Linked DNA regions of Macaca mulatta. The protein of the gene in region 2 purifies or fractionates together with the protein of the main gene of each other region. This does not show direct contact. Links are inferred from orthologs where the notes say so. Each region holds a gene or a part of one and is shown on either strand. Other genes may lie near its edges. The genes, in order: LRRK2, TUBB and ARL2.

The links.
Region 1: the proteins of TUBB (region 2) and LRRK2 purify together in Homo sapiens (co-immunoprecipitation; 5 studies listed by BioGRID and IntAct, with this or other methods). This does not show direct contact. The link is inferred for Macaca mulatta from reciprocal best matches to the Homo sapiens genes TUBB and LRRK2.
Region 3: the proteins of TUBB (region 2) and ARL2 purify together in Homo sapiens (co-immunoprecipitation; 3 studies listed by BioGRID and IntAct, counting the BioPlex papers as one, with this or other methods). This does not show direct contact. The link is inferred for Macaca mulatta from reciprocal best matches to the Homo sapiens genes TUBB and ARL2.

The regions. Positions count from the first base shown.
Region 1 is NC_133416.1:47,247,341-47,250,148, forward strand, and holds the end of LRRK2 (leucine-rich repeat serine/threonine-protein kinase 2), read left to right. Parts: intron 1-536; coding exon 537-658; 3' UTR 659-2,169; downstream 2,170-2,808. UniProt on the Homo sapiens protein: Serine/threonine-protein kinase which phosphorylates a broad range of proteins involved in multiple processes such as neuronal plasticity, innate immunity, autophagy, and vesicle trafficking.
Region 2 is NC_133409.1:152,322,446-152,326,745, reverse strand, and holds the start of TUBB (tubulin beta chain), read left to right. Parts: upstream 1-1,402; 5' UTR 1,403-1,476; coding exon 1,477-1,533; intron 1,534-2,575; exon of another isoform or gene 2,576-2,859; intron 2,860-3,502; coding exon 3,503-3,611; intron 3,612-3,880; coding exon 3,881-3,991; intron 3,992-4,300. UniProt on the Homo sapiens protein: Tubulin is the major constituent of microtubules, a cylinder consisting of laterally associated linear protofilaments composed of alpha- and beta-tubulin heterodimers.
Region 3 is NC_133419.1:9,364,076-9,366,468, reverse strand, and holds the end of ARL2 (ADP-ribosylation factor-like protein 2), read left to right. Parts: intron 1-266; coding exon of another isoform or gene 267-279; coding exon 280-394; intron 395-615; coding exon of another isoform or gene 616-705; exon of another isoform or gene 706-706; intron 707-1,292; coding exon 1,293-1,427; 3' UTR 1,428-1,757; downstream 1,758-2,393. UniProt on the Homo sapiens protein: Small GTP-binding protein which cycles between an inactive GDP-bound and an active GTP-bound form, and the rate of cycling is regulated by guanine nucleotide exchange factors (GEF) and GTPase-activating proteins (GAP).

The DNA.
Region 1 (2,808 bases), on a different chromosome or scaffold from region 2:
AACAGTGCAATGACATGAATGATAGTAACATATTATGTGTTTTATAAATTTGTAGAAAATATTACATATGGTATAATCAGGAATTTTAATTGGTAGTTTATAGTATAAAGAACTTAGGCATAAACTTTCAAAATTACAAGTGATATGAAGTGTTAAATATTTATATTTTCAGATGAAGTAGAGGTGTCAATCACTAGCTCAACCTTAAACTAAATGTGAATATTTTTTACAACTTACCTGTATCTACATAATGTTTAATTTTCAACAGTGTTTGAAAAGCTTTATTTCTTTTAGATTATGAAATGTTAATTTATTAAATGTCCACACTCTTCTTGAAATTTAGTAGTTTCTATAATGTATTATAAAAATTGTCCAAGTACAGTTTTTTATAAATAATTATTTAGTGCATTAGTTATAGCTGTGTTTATATATACATTTATCTAAGTCAACTAAAAATACATAAGCCAAACTGAAATAAAATAAGAATGTTTTATGGTGGATCTTTGAAACTTGATTTCATCTTTTTCTTTTTCTAGAGATACAATCTTGCTTGACTGTTTGGGACATCAATCTTCCACATGAAGTGCAAAATTTAGAAAAACACATTGAAGTGAGAAAAGAATTAGCTGAAAAAATGAGAGGAACATCTATTGAATAAGAGAGAAACAGGAATTGTCTTTGGATAGGAAAATTATTCTCTTGTAAATATTTATTTAAAAATGTTCACATGAAAAGGGTACTCACATTTTTTGAAATAGCTCATGTGTATATGAAGGAATGTTATATTTTTAATTTAAATATATGTAAAAATACTTACCAGTAAACATATATTTTAAAGAACTATTTAAAACACAATGTTGTATTTCTTATGAATACCAGTTACTTTTGTGCATTAATTAATGAAAATAAATCTGTGAAATACCTAATTTAAGTACTCATACTAAAATTTATAAGGCCGATAATTTTTTGTTTTCTTGTCTGTAATGAAGATAAACTTTATTTTAAATTCTATGCTTAAGACAAGACTATTGCTTGTTGATTTTTCTAGAAATCTGCAAGGTAGAATGAAAATATTAAGACAGTTTCCCGTGTAATGTATTCCCTCTTAGATTGCTTTGAAATGCACTATCATATATGCTTGCAAATATTCAAATGAATTTGCACTAATAAATTCCTTTGTTGGTATGTGAATTCTCTTTGTTGCTGTTGCAGACAGTGCATGTTACACAACTTCACTCAATCCAAAAGAAAACTCCATTAAAAGTACTAATGAAAAAACATGACATACTGTCAAAGTCCTCATATCTAGGATATGAGGAGAGTTTCTGTGTCTTTCTGTGTCTTTCCTAGACATGATAGAGTTGTCTCTATCTTTTCAACTCTATCTTTGAGTATGGATACCCTGAATTTTGTATAATTAGTGTAAATACAGTGTTCAGTCCTTCAAGTGATATTTTTATTTTTTTATTCATACCATTAGCTACTTGTTTTCTAATCTGCTTCATCCTAATGCTTATATTCATCTTTTCCCTAAATTTGTGATGCTGCAGATCCTACATCATTCAGATAGAAACTTTTTTTTTTCAGAATTATAGAATTCCACAGCTCCTACCAAGACCATGAGGACAAATATCTAACACTTTTCAGTTGCTGAAGGAGAAAAGAGCTTTAGTTATGATGGATAAAAATATCTGCCACCCTAGGCTTCCAAATTATACTTAAATTGTTTACATAGCTTACCACAGTAGGAGTATCAGGGCCAAATACCTATGTAATAATTTGAGGTCATTTCTGCTTTAGGAAAAGTACTTTTGGTAAATTCTTTGGCCCTGACCAGTATTCATTATTTCAGACAATTCCCTGTGATAGGACAACTAGTCTATTTAATATTCTCAGAACTTATGGCATTTGACTATATGAAAACTTTAAATTTATTTATATTCAGGGTGATCAAATTCTTAAACATGAAAGATTTTCTGTATTTTAACTTGCTACGTAATTAACGACAACAAAAAAAAATACAGTAGAGCTCTTTGTTCCAGTGTTATCTCTTTCATTGTCACTTTGTATGTATTTGCAAATTTTTTTACCAAAGACAAACACAAAAATAGAATACTGTATTTACATGGAATAATAAAATTTTTAAAAGCATGTTTATGAATTTTTAAACTTTGTGATAGTGTTTTGCTTTTCACATACAGGTCTGTTATCCACCTCAAAGGAAACTTTGTATATTAATTTGTATATGGAACATTCCACGATAAGAAAGTGCAACTAAAGTTTTTTCTTGAGAACTTACAGAATATTTAAATTTACTTTTCTATAATACGTATGGTTGCCAGGATCCCAGGACAAAATCTGATGGGTATGAAACATTCTATTTTCAAGTTCTCTTAAAAATGTTTTGTGAGTAAATTTGTTTGCTCTTGAGTACTGAAACAAAATATAAGACTTTAGAGCAAATGATATATACAAAAAATAGGCACAGTCACTTCAAGTGTTTTCTGATTAGAAGCCTAAAATAACCTGCTAATTATGATCAAAATACAAACATTATCATAACAGAAAATATTCTTTTGGGAAAATTTTGAATTCAAAAAAGGGCGCCTCTCTGACTCTAATTCACTCTATCGATTATGTGTGAACTATTTTAACTAAAATGCAACTTATTTTTCATCAAGGCAGTGAAATATATTGATGAAACATAGCAGAATTAACAAAAGAAGATTGTGAACTTTCCTAAGTTAAATGTAAGGATGCAAATGTTCTAATATTGAGGGGAGATAAAATTCAAAACCGTTGGGACTT
Region 2 (4,300 bases):
CGAATCACGAGGTCAGGGGATTGAGGCCATCCTGGCTAACATGGCGAAACCCTGTCTGTACCAAAAATACAATATATATATATATATAGATAGATATAGATATATATATATAGATATATAGATCTGTGTGTAATCGAATGTGAATGAACAATGATGTTGACTTGATACTACATTTCTGAGTGGCCAGACTGCAACATCCTGGAGGACAGGGAACTAATTATTAATCATTTTGTAACCATAGTTCCTAATTTGGTGGATACATAGTAACTATCAAATAAGTGAATAAATCTCTGGGAAGAAGCTGGTGGACTCTGTCTTGAGCCCATCCAATTTTCCCCCATCAATTTCCCCTCTCTCCTTTTTCAATACTGGGTATCTTGCAGAGTTGCAATGGCGGCCACCTGGTCAGTGAAATAAGCGAATTGAAAAACCACTGACTTCATTAACATGTCTAAAAAGGTAGGCTGAAAAAACTGAAAATCTATCAGGCATCTCATTCCATAGTTCCCTGTTTGACAAGAAGATCAAGGTGTCTTCAAAGTCTGCCCTAAGGCCCAGATCTCCTACGTGGATGGAGACTTCTAGTTTCACAAATCCCCGATGTCGGTTTCTCTAAACTATTTTATTCTTTGAACATACTCTCCAGACAACATCTCTATCCTGAAAAGCCCTTGCTGCAATTTTGTTTCTCTTTCAAAACAATGACTCGAAAATTTCCAAGGAAATAGCAAGAGGGCGATTCCCTTCTTGAAGTATTTGAGAGAGCAGAAGCTTACTTAAGTTCATGACTTGGGTCACCAAAGGCCAGAGGTAGCAGAGCACGGTGCCACACTCCTCCCCATTTTTCGCTGAGCTAAGCAATTCTGTCTTCCCTAGAGGTACTGCAGCTGGGAGCTTTTAGGGCGTACCTCACCACCCAACTTCTGGAACCCCAGACTTCTCAATCCCTGCATCCCCGAGAACTGCTCACTTTTTGTACAAAAACCTCAGGCACAGAGGAAAGGAATCTTGCGCAAGGTCGTTTTTCATTTACAAAACAAAAACCCAACAAAAACCAAACCGGTACCCACCCATTCGTCACTTCATTTTGCACCGTGAACAACAATAGGGGACTACAACTCCCAAAGAGGACTGCGCTCGTCCACTGGCTCAGAGGCCAATGGACGCCTGGTACATGACCGGCATCGACTAATCAGGGCCAGGCTCGATGAGGCTTTGTCTCCCGACCGCGCGCGGGGCCGATTCTCCCGCCTCCCAGCCCCGGCGCACGCGCGCCCCGCCCAGCCTGCCTTCCCTCCGCGCCCTCCCCTCTCCTTTCTCCCTCTCAGAACCTTCCTGCCGCCGCGTTCGCACCTCGCTGCTCCAGCGTCTGGGGCGCGTTCCAACCTTCCAGCCTGCGACCTGCAGAGAAAAAAAATTACTTATTTTCTTGCCCCATACATACCTTGAGGCGAGCAAAAAAAATTAATTTTAACCATGAGGGAAATCGTGCACATCCAGGCCGGTCAGTGTGGCAACCAGATCGGTGCCAAGGTAAGAATTTTACACCTCTTTTATTTCTTTTTAGAAGGAAAAATCCAGGTAAGTTATGAAAAAATGGTTGTGGGGCATTTGCACTCTCCATTCTTAATCAAGCTTTGCCCCTCCCAAGTTTGTTACATTTATATATATAATAACTAGCATTTGCTTTTGGAAAACTGGGAATCATTTTTCTTGGCAGGCACATTTTGGAGAAACTAGTAAAAGGGCTCTTCGGGTTTCGGGGGCGGGAAGACCAAGGACATATGTTACTTAAAAGGGCTTCTAACGGTCCAAGAACCGGGCAGGGAGAGAGATGCGGAAACAGTCGGAGACAAAGCGGGGCGAGGTTTTGCCCATGTGCATCCCGCCCAGCCCCCCCTGCGGGGTTCTTAGGGCCAAACGGGAGCGGGAAGGGGTGAGGCTGTCGGGCGGCTGCAGAGAGCTCCAGTGCAAAGGTCGGGGGGCGATGCGCCAGGGTGGGCTGCGCTGGGCGCTACCATTCACAAAAGATCAGGGACCCCAGCGCGCCCGCGACCCCGGAGGGCCGGTCCTGTAGTTGTTCCGGGGTGGAAGGAGAATAAGAACGGGATTAATTTTTCTTGCTTTCATGGCACCTAAGCGAGACCTCTTTAGGGCGTGAACTGATATGTCGAGAAAATGGGGGTGTGTGGTTTTCTTTAACGAGTCCTTCAGGACTTAATGGGAGAGAAAGAATGCTTTAAATCAAGGGGGAGAAATCTAGCAAAGGAATAAAATTCCGAGGCCAAGGGTTTTTTTTTTTTTTTTTTTTGCGCGCGGTTACAGTGTAGCGGGGGAGGGGCGGGAGGAAGTGCGGGTGCTACGTTGTAGCAGAAGGGCGGGGCCCTGCGGGGCGGGGCCAGGGCGCCGCTGGCGCGCGGGGACAATGCGGCGTTGCCCGCCGGGAGGGGCGCGCTACCCTGGGCCCCGCCCCTCGCGCGGAATTCTTGCCCCTGGCCCCGCCCACGTGCGAAGTCCTTTGTCGGCGGCTCGACCTGCGCGTGCGCCGCAGTCACGTGGAGGGTGGGGGGTGGTCGACTGCGGCAGCAGCTCTTCTAGTGCCCCGAGCCTTTTGTGCGCCGCGCGGTGGGGCGGTGCCCAGCTCGGGGGAAGAACAGCGGCGCTTATCCAAGTATGGTCGACCTCCATCCGCCCACCGAGCACTTGGGACCCGCTGCACATAATCCCGAGCCGGGAAAGCTGTGGCTTTCCCGGGGGAGCGAGTGTCTAGGGGAAGGGTGTGGCAGGCACACGGGATGCCAGGCCCTAGAACAACGGCCTGAGCGCGTGTGGGATTAAAATGGGAGATGTGGGGCTGAGGCGGGCTAATTGGGATCGCTCCCGCTCAGGGGTTTGAGACCATCCTGGGCAACAAAGCGAGACCCCTCCCCCCGGCCACATCTCTTCAAAAAAAAAAAAAAAAAAATTAACTGGGTGTGGTGGCGCGCGTCTGTGGTCCCAGCTATTCGAGAGGCTGAGATGGGAGGATCGGTTGAGCCTGGGAGTTTCAGGCTGTAGTGATCCGTGATTGCACCACTGCACTGCAGGCTGGGCAACAGAGGAAGACCCTGTCTTAAAAATTAAAAGAAGCTGGGCGCGGTGGCTCACGCCTGTAATCCCAGCACTTTAGGAGGCCGAGGTGGGCGGATCAAGAGATCTAGACCATCCTGGTCAACATGGTGAAACCCGTCTCTACTAAAAATACAAAAAATTAGCTGGGCGTGGTGGCGCGCGCCTGTAGTCCCAGCTACTCCGGAGGCTGAGGCAGGAGAATCGCTTGAACCCGGGAAGCAGAGGTTGCAGTGAGCCGAGATAGCGCCATTGCACTCCAGCCTGGCGACAGAGCGAGACTCCGTCTCAAAAAAAAAAAAGAAAAAAGTTAAGAAAAAGATGAAATAAAATGGTAGTTGGGGACGTAGTTGACTGGGACTTGACTTGTGGTCTCGTTGCTCCTGCCCGGCAGTTCTGGGAGGTGATCAGTGATGAACATGGCATCGACCCCACCGGCACCTACCACGGGGACAGCGACCTGCAGCTGGACCGCATCTCCGTGTACTACAATGAAGCCACAGGTAAGGGCAAGAGCCCGGGCAGCTCAGGTTCCCCTTCCCTGTCTCCCACTTCTCTGGGGTCTCTTTCCATTCCTGGCACGCCTTATCCCCTTTCGGTGAATCTATCATTTTCTCCCTTTTGTGAACCACCGTCGGGGCCAAAGACGTCTGCTGCCACCTGGTGGCAGGACCTGGAACAAGTCTTGGGTCCCTGCTGTCTTCCATTCCCAGTGTATCTATAAACCTTTCCCTCTGCCAGATCTCACAGCTCTTAACTTTATTCTTTGTAGGTGGCAAATATGTTCCTCGTGCCATCCTGGTGGATCTAGAACCTGGGACCATGGACTCTGTTCGCTCAGGTCCTTTTGGCCAGATCTTTAGACCAGACAACTTTGTATTTGGTAAGTTATACAGATGATATTAGCAGATGATATACTATCGTGTTCAACTTATTTGGGTGCAAGGACACAGCAAAAGTTAGGAGATGATTGTTGTACTGGAGTGCTAAGAACTGTATTCTGAAATCTAATGGAGGGTAGAGGTAGGGTAGAGGTAGTGCCTGCTGTTGCTGGTACATTATGGGGCAGTGGGGGGAGAATACATCACAGTGAAGGAGAAAGAAGATACATCCAAGGGAATTATTTCTAAAGTTGAAAGATGGAAACATCATGTATCTTCCATACCCTGTTAATTGAGCTTTTCTCCTGACT
Region 3 (2,393 bases), on a different chromosome or scaffold from region 2:
CACAGAGAGCTCAGGGATCATCTTATCCAGCACCCCTCCCTGTTTATGGAAGAGGAAGCTGAAGCATGGGGGACAGCGGTGTCCCCTGTGGTGGTTGACTGGAACCAGAACCCTGGCCCAGAACTGCCATCGCCCATGTGGTCCAGCCTTGATGGCTATGTCCACAAACTCACTCCTGGGCCTCTCCCACCACCACAGGGCCTCACCTTGATCTTCCAGGTCGATCCTTCACCCCAGATGCTCTGGGCCGTTAGAGGAGGGGTCAGGCTGTCCTCTGAGTCCCCACCCCACCCCTCTGTCTTCTCTTCCCCAGCGCCTGGCCGGAGCCACCCTCCTCATCTTTGCCAACAAGCAGGACCTGCCTGGAGCACTGTCCTCTAACGCCATCCGCGAGGTGAGTCCAGGCCCTGGGACAGGCCCACTGAGAGAAAGGGGCTCACTTTTTTTATTTTAAAAGCATTTATTAAAAATAACCAAAAAAAGTAATAATAAAAGCATTTATTAGCCCCTGCTAGGTGGCAGGACCTATGCAGGGCACTGGGGATCCAGTGATTAATAAGGCATGGGGTGGCCCACAGCCTGGGGAAGACAGAACTGCACATGTGTTGTTCACAGGCTAACAGTAGCCAGCACAAACAGAGTGCTTTCAGTATGCTCTGCTCCTTGCATGGATTAACTCATTTCATTCTCACAACAACCTCATGAGGTAAGAACTATTATTTTACACATGGTGAAGCAGGCTCAGAGAGATTAGGTAACTTGTCCCAGGTCACACAGCCACTAAATAGACCAGAAGCCTGTCTGACCCCAGAGCCCACATTTTAACCATGATTCTAGTGCTCAAGCACCACAGTGAGAAAGAGCAGCGTTAAAATCTTGGCTGTGCCACTTATGAGCTATGTGCCCTTAGGCAGGTTGCTTAACCTCTCTGAACTTTGGTTTCCTCCTTGGTGAAATGGCTGACACAATCCCTGGCTCATGAGGACTTGAGGAGAATGAGAGAGGATGTGTGGGGCTCCTGGCATGATGCCCAGATCCTGGTGGATGCTCAAGAGCCCGTGTTGCATTTACATCACTAAGGGGCGGCACTGGTGTGGTACTGGACAGAGAGCCCAGGTGCCCCTGGGGGCTGACAAAGTCTCTCAGGGACCAGCGGGGCTTCCTGGATGGGATGACCTGGAACAGGGCCTTGAGGGAGGCATGGAGCTCCTCTGGGCTGGGGAGGGAAGGGGCTGAGGGAAGGCAGGGTCTGCAGTCACTGACCACCACCATCAGCACCTTTGTTCTTCCAGGCCCTGGAGCTGGACTCCATCCGCAGCCACCACTGGTGCATCCAGGGCTGCAGCGCCGTCACCGGGGAGAACCTGCTGCCAGGCATCGACTGGCTCCTGGATGACATTTCCAGCCGCATCTTCACAGCTGACTGAGCCACTCCAGATGTCCCTCCACCTAGCAGTCCAGGTCCCCCAACCCTCACCAAACACTATCCATGGGGGCATGGGAGTCAGCCAGCCAAACTAACACTCCCCCTCCTCCACCCCAACCTGCTGCTGCTACTGCTGCCCGCTGCTGCTCTGTGGCCACCCAGCTCCTGTGGCGGGAGGGCTGTGCCCTGGCTGTTTCCCTGGCTCCTGGCCTGGCCTTTGGCTACCATACCAAGAAAAGAGGACTGGGCGGGGAGGAGCTGCTACTGCTGCTACCGAGGCTGTGGGCCTCATCCTTCACTCAGCTGTGAAATAAACCACTCCTTGCCCTGATTCCTGGCTGAGTCATTTGTTGATTCAACAGCGTTAGAGACCACCTGGGACCCACAATCCAGCAGGGGACAGAAAGGAACAGACCATTGCAGTCAATGGTGAGCTGCGGCTATGTCAAAGGGATGCAAAAAAAGTTATAGAAGCATGGGACACGGTGCAACTGATTCCATCCAGAGGAGTCCAGGCAGGCTTCCTAGAGGAGGTCATGTTAAAACTGGGAATAAAATGTGAGTAGTTTTCCAGGTAGAGAAAGGGGAAGACGGTTCACCAGGGGAACTCCAACTCTCATAGGTATGAATTAGAAAAAGGGACACAGCTCCAGACCAGGGCTCCAACTTTTTGAATGGAACATGGGCTGAAATTCAGCTCCCAATTCTCTGTTGTAGCCAGGACCCCATGTGCAGTGGACAACCTGAATAGCTGTATGAGGCCAGCAGAGGTTCAGGCAGAGGGGATCACAGGACAGGCATGAAGAGCAAAGGCTCTTGGGAAATGGGGAGGGGCATAGAGTCATGTGTGGGAGGGAGTGCAGCCAGAGGGCGGGAGGGGGCCACATCAGGTAGGGGTAGCTGAGTCCTTTCCTGAAGGCGACAGGAACTCGGAACCAGTGCCAGGCTGGGAAAGGATAGGAAATGA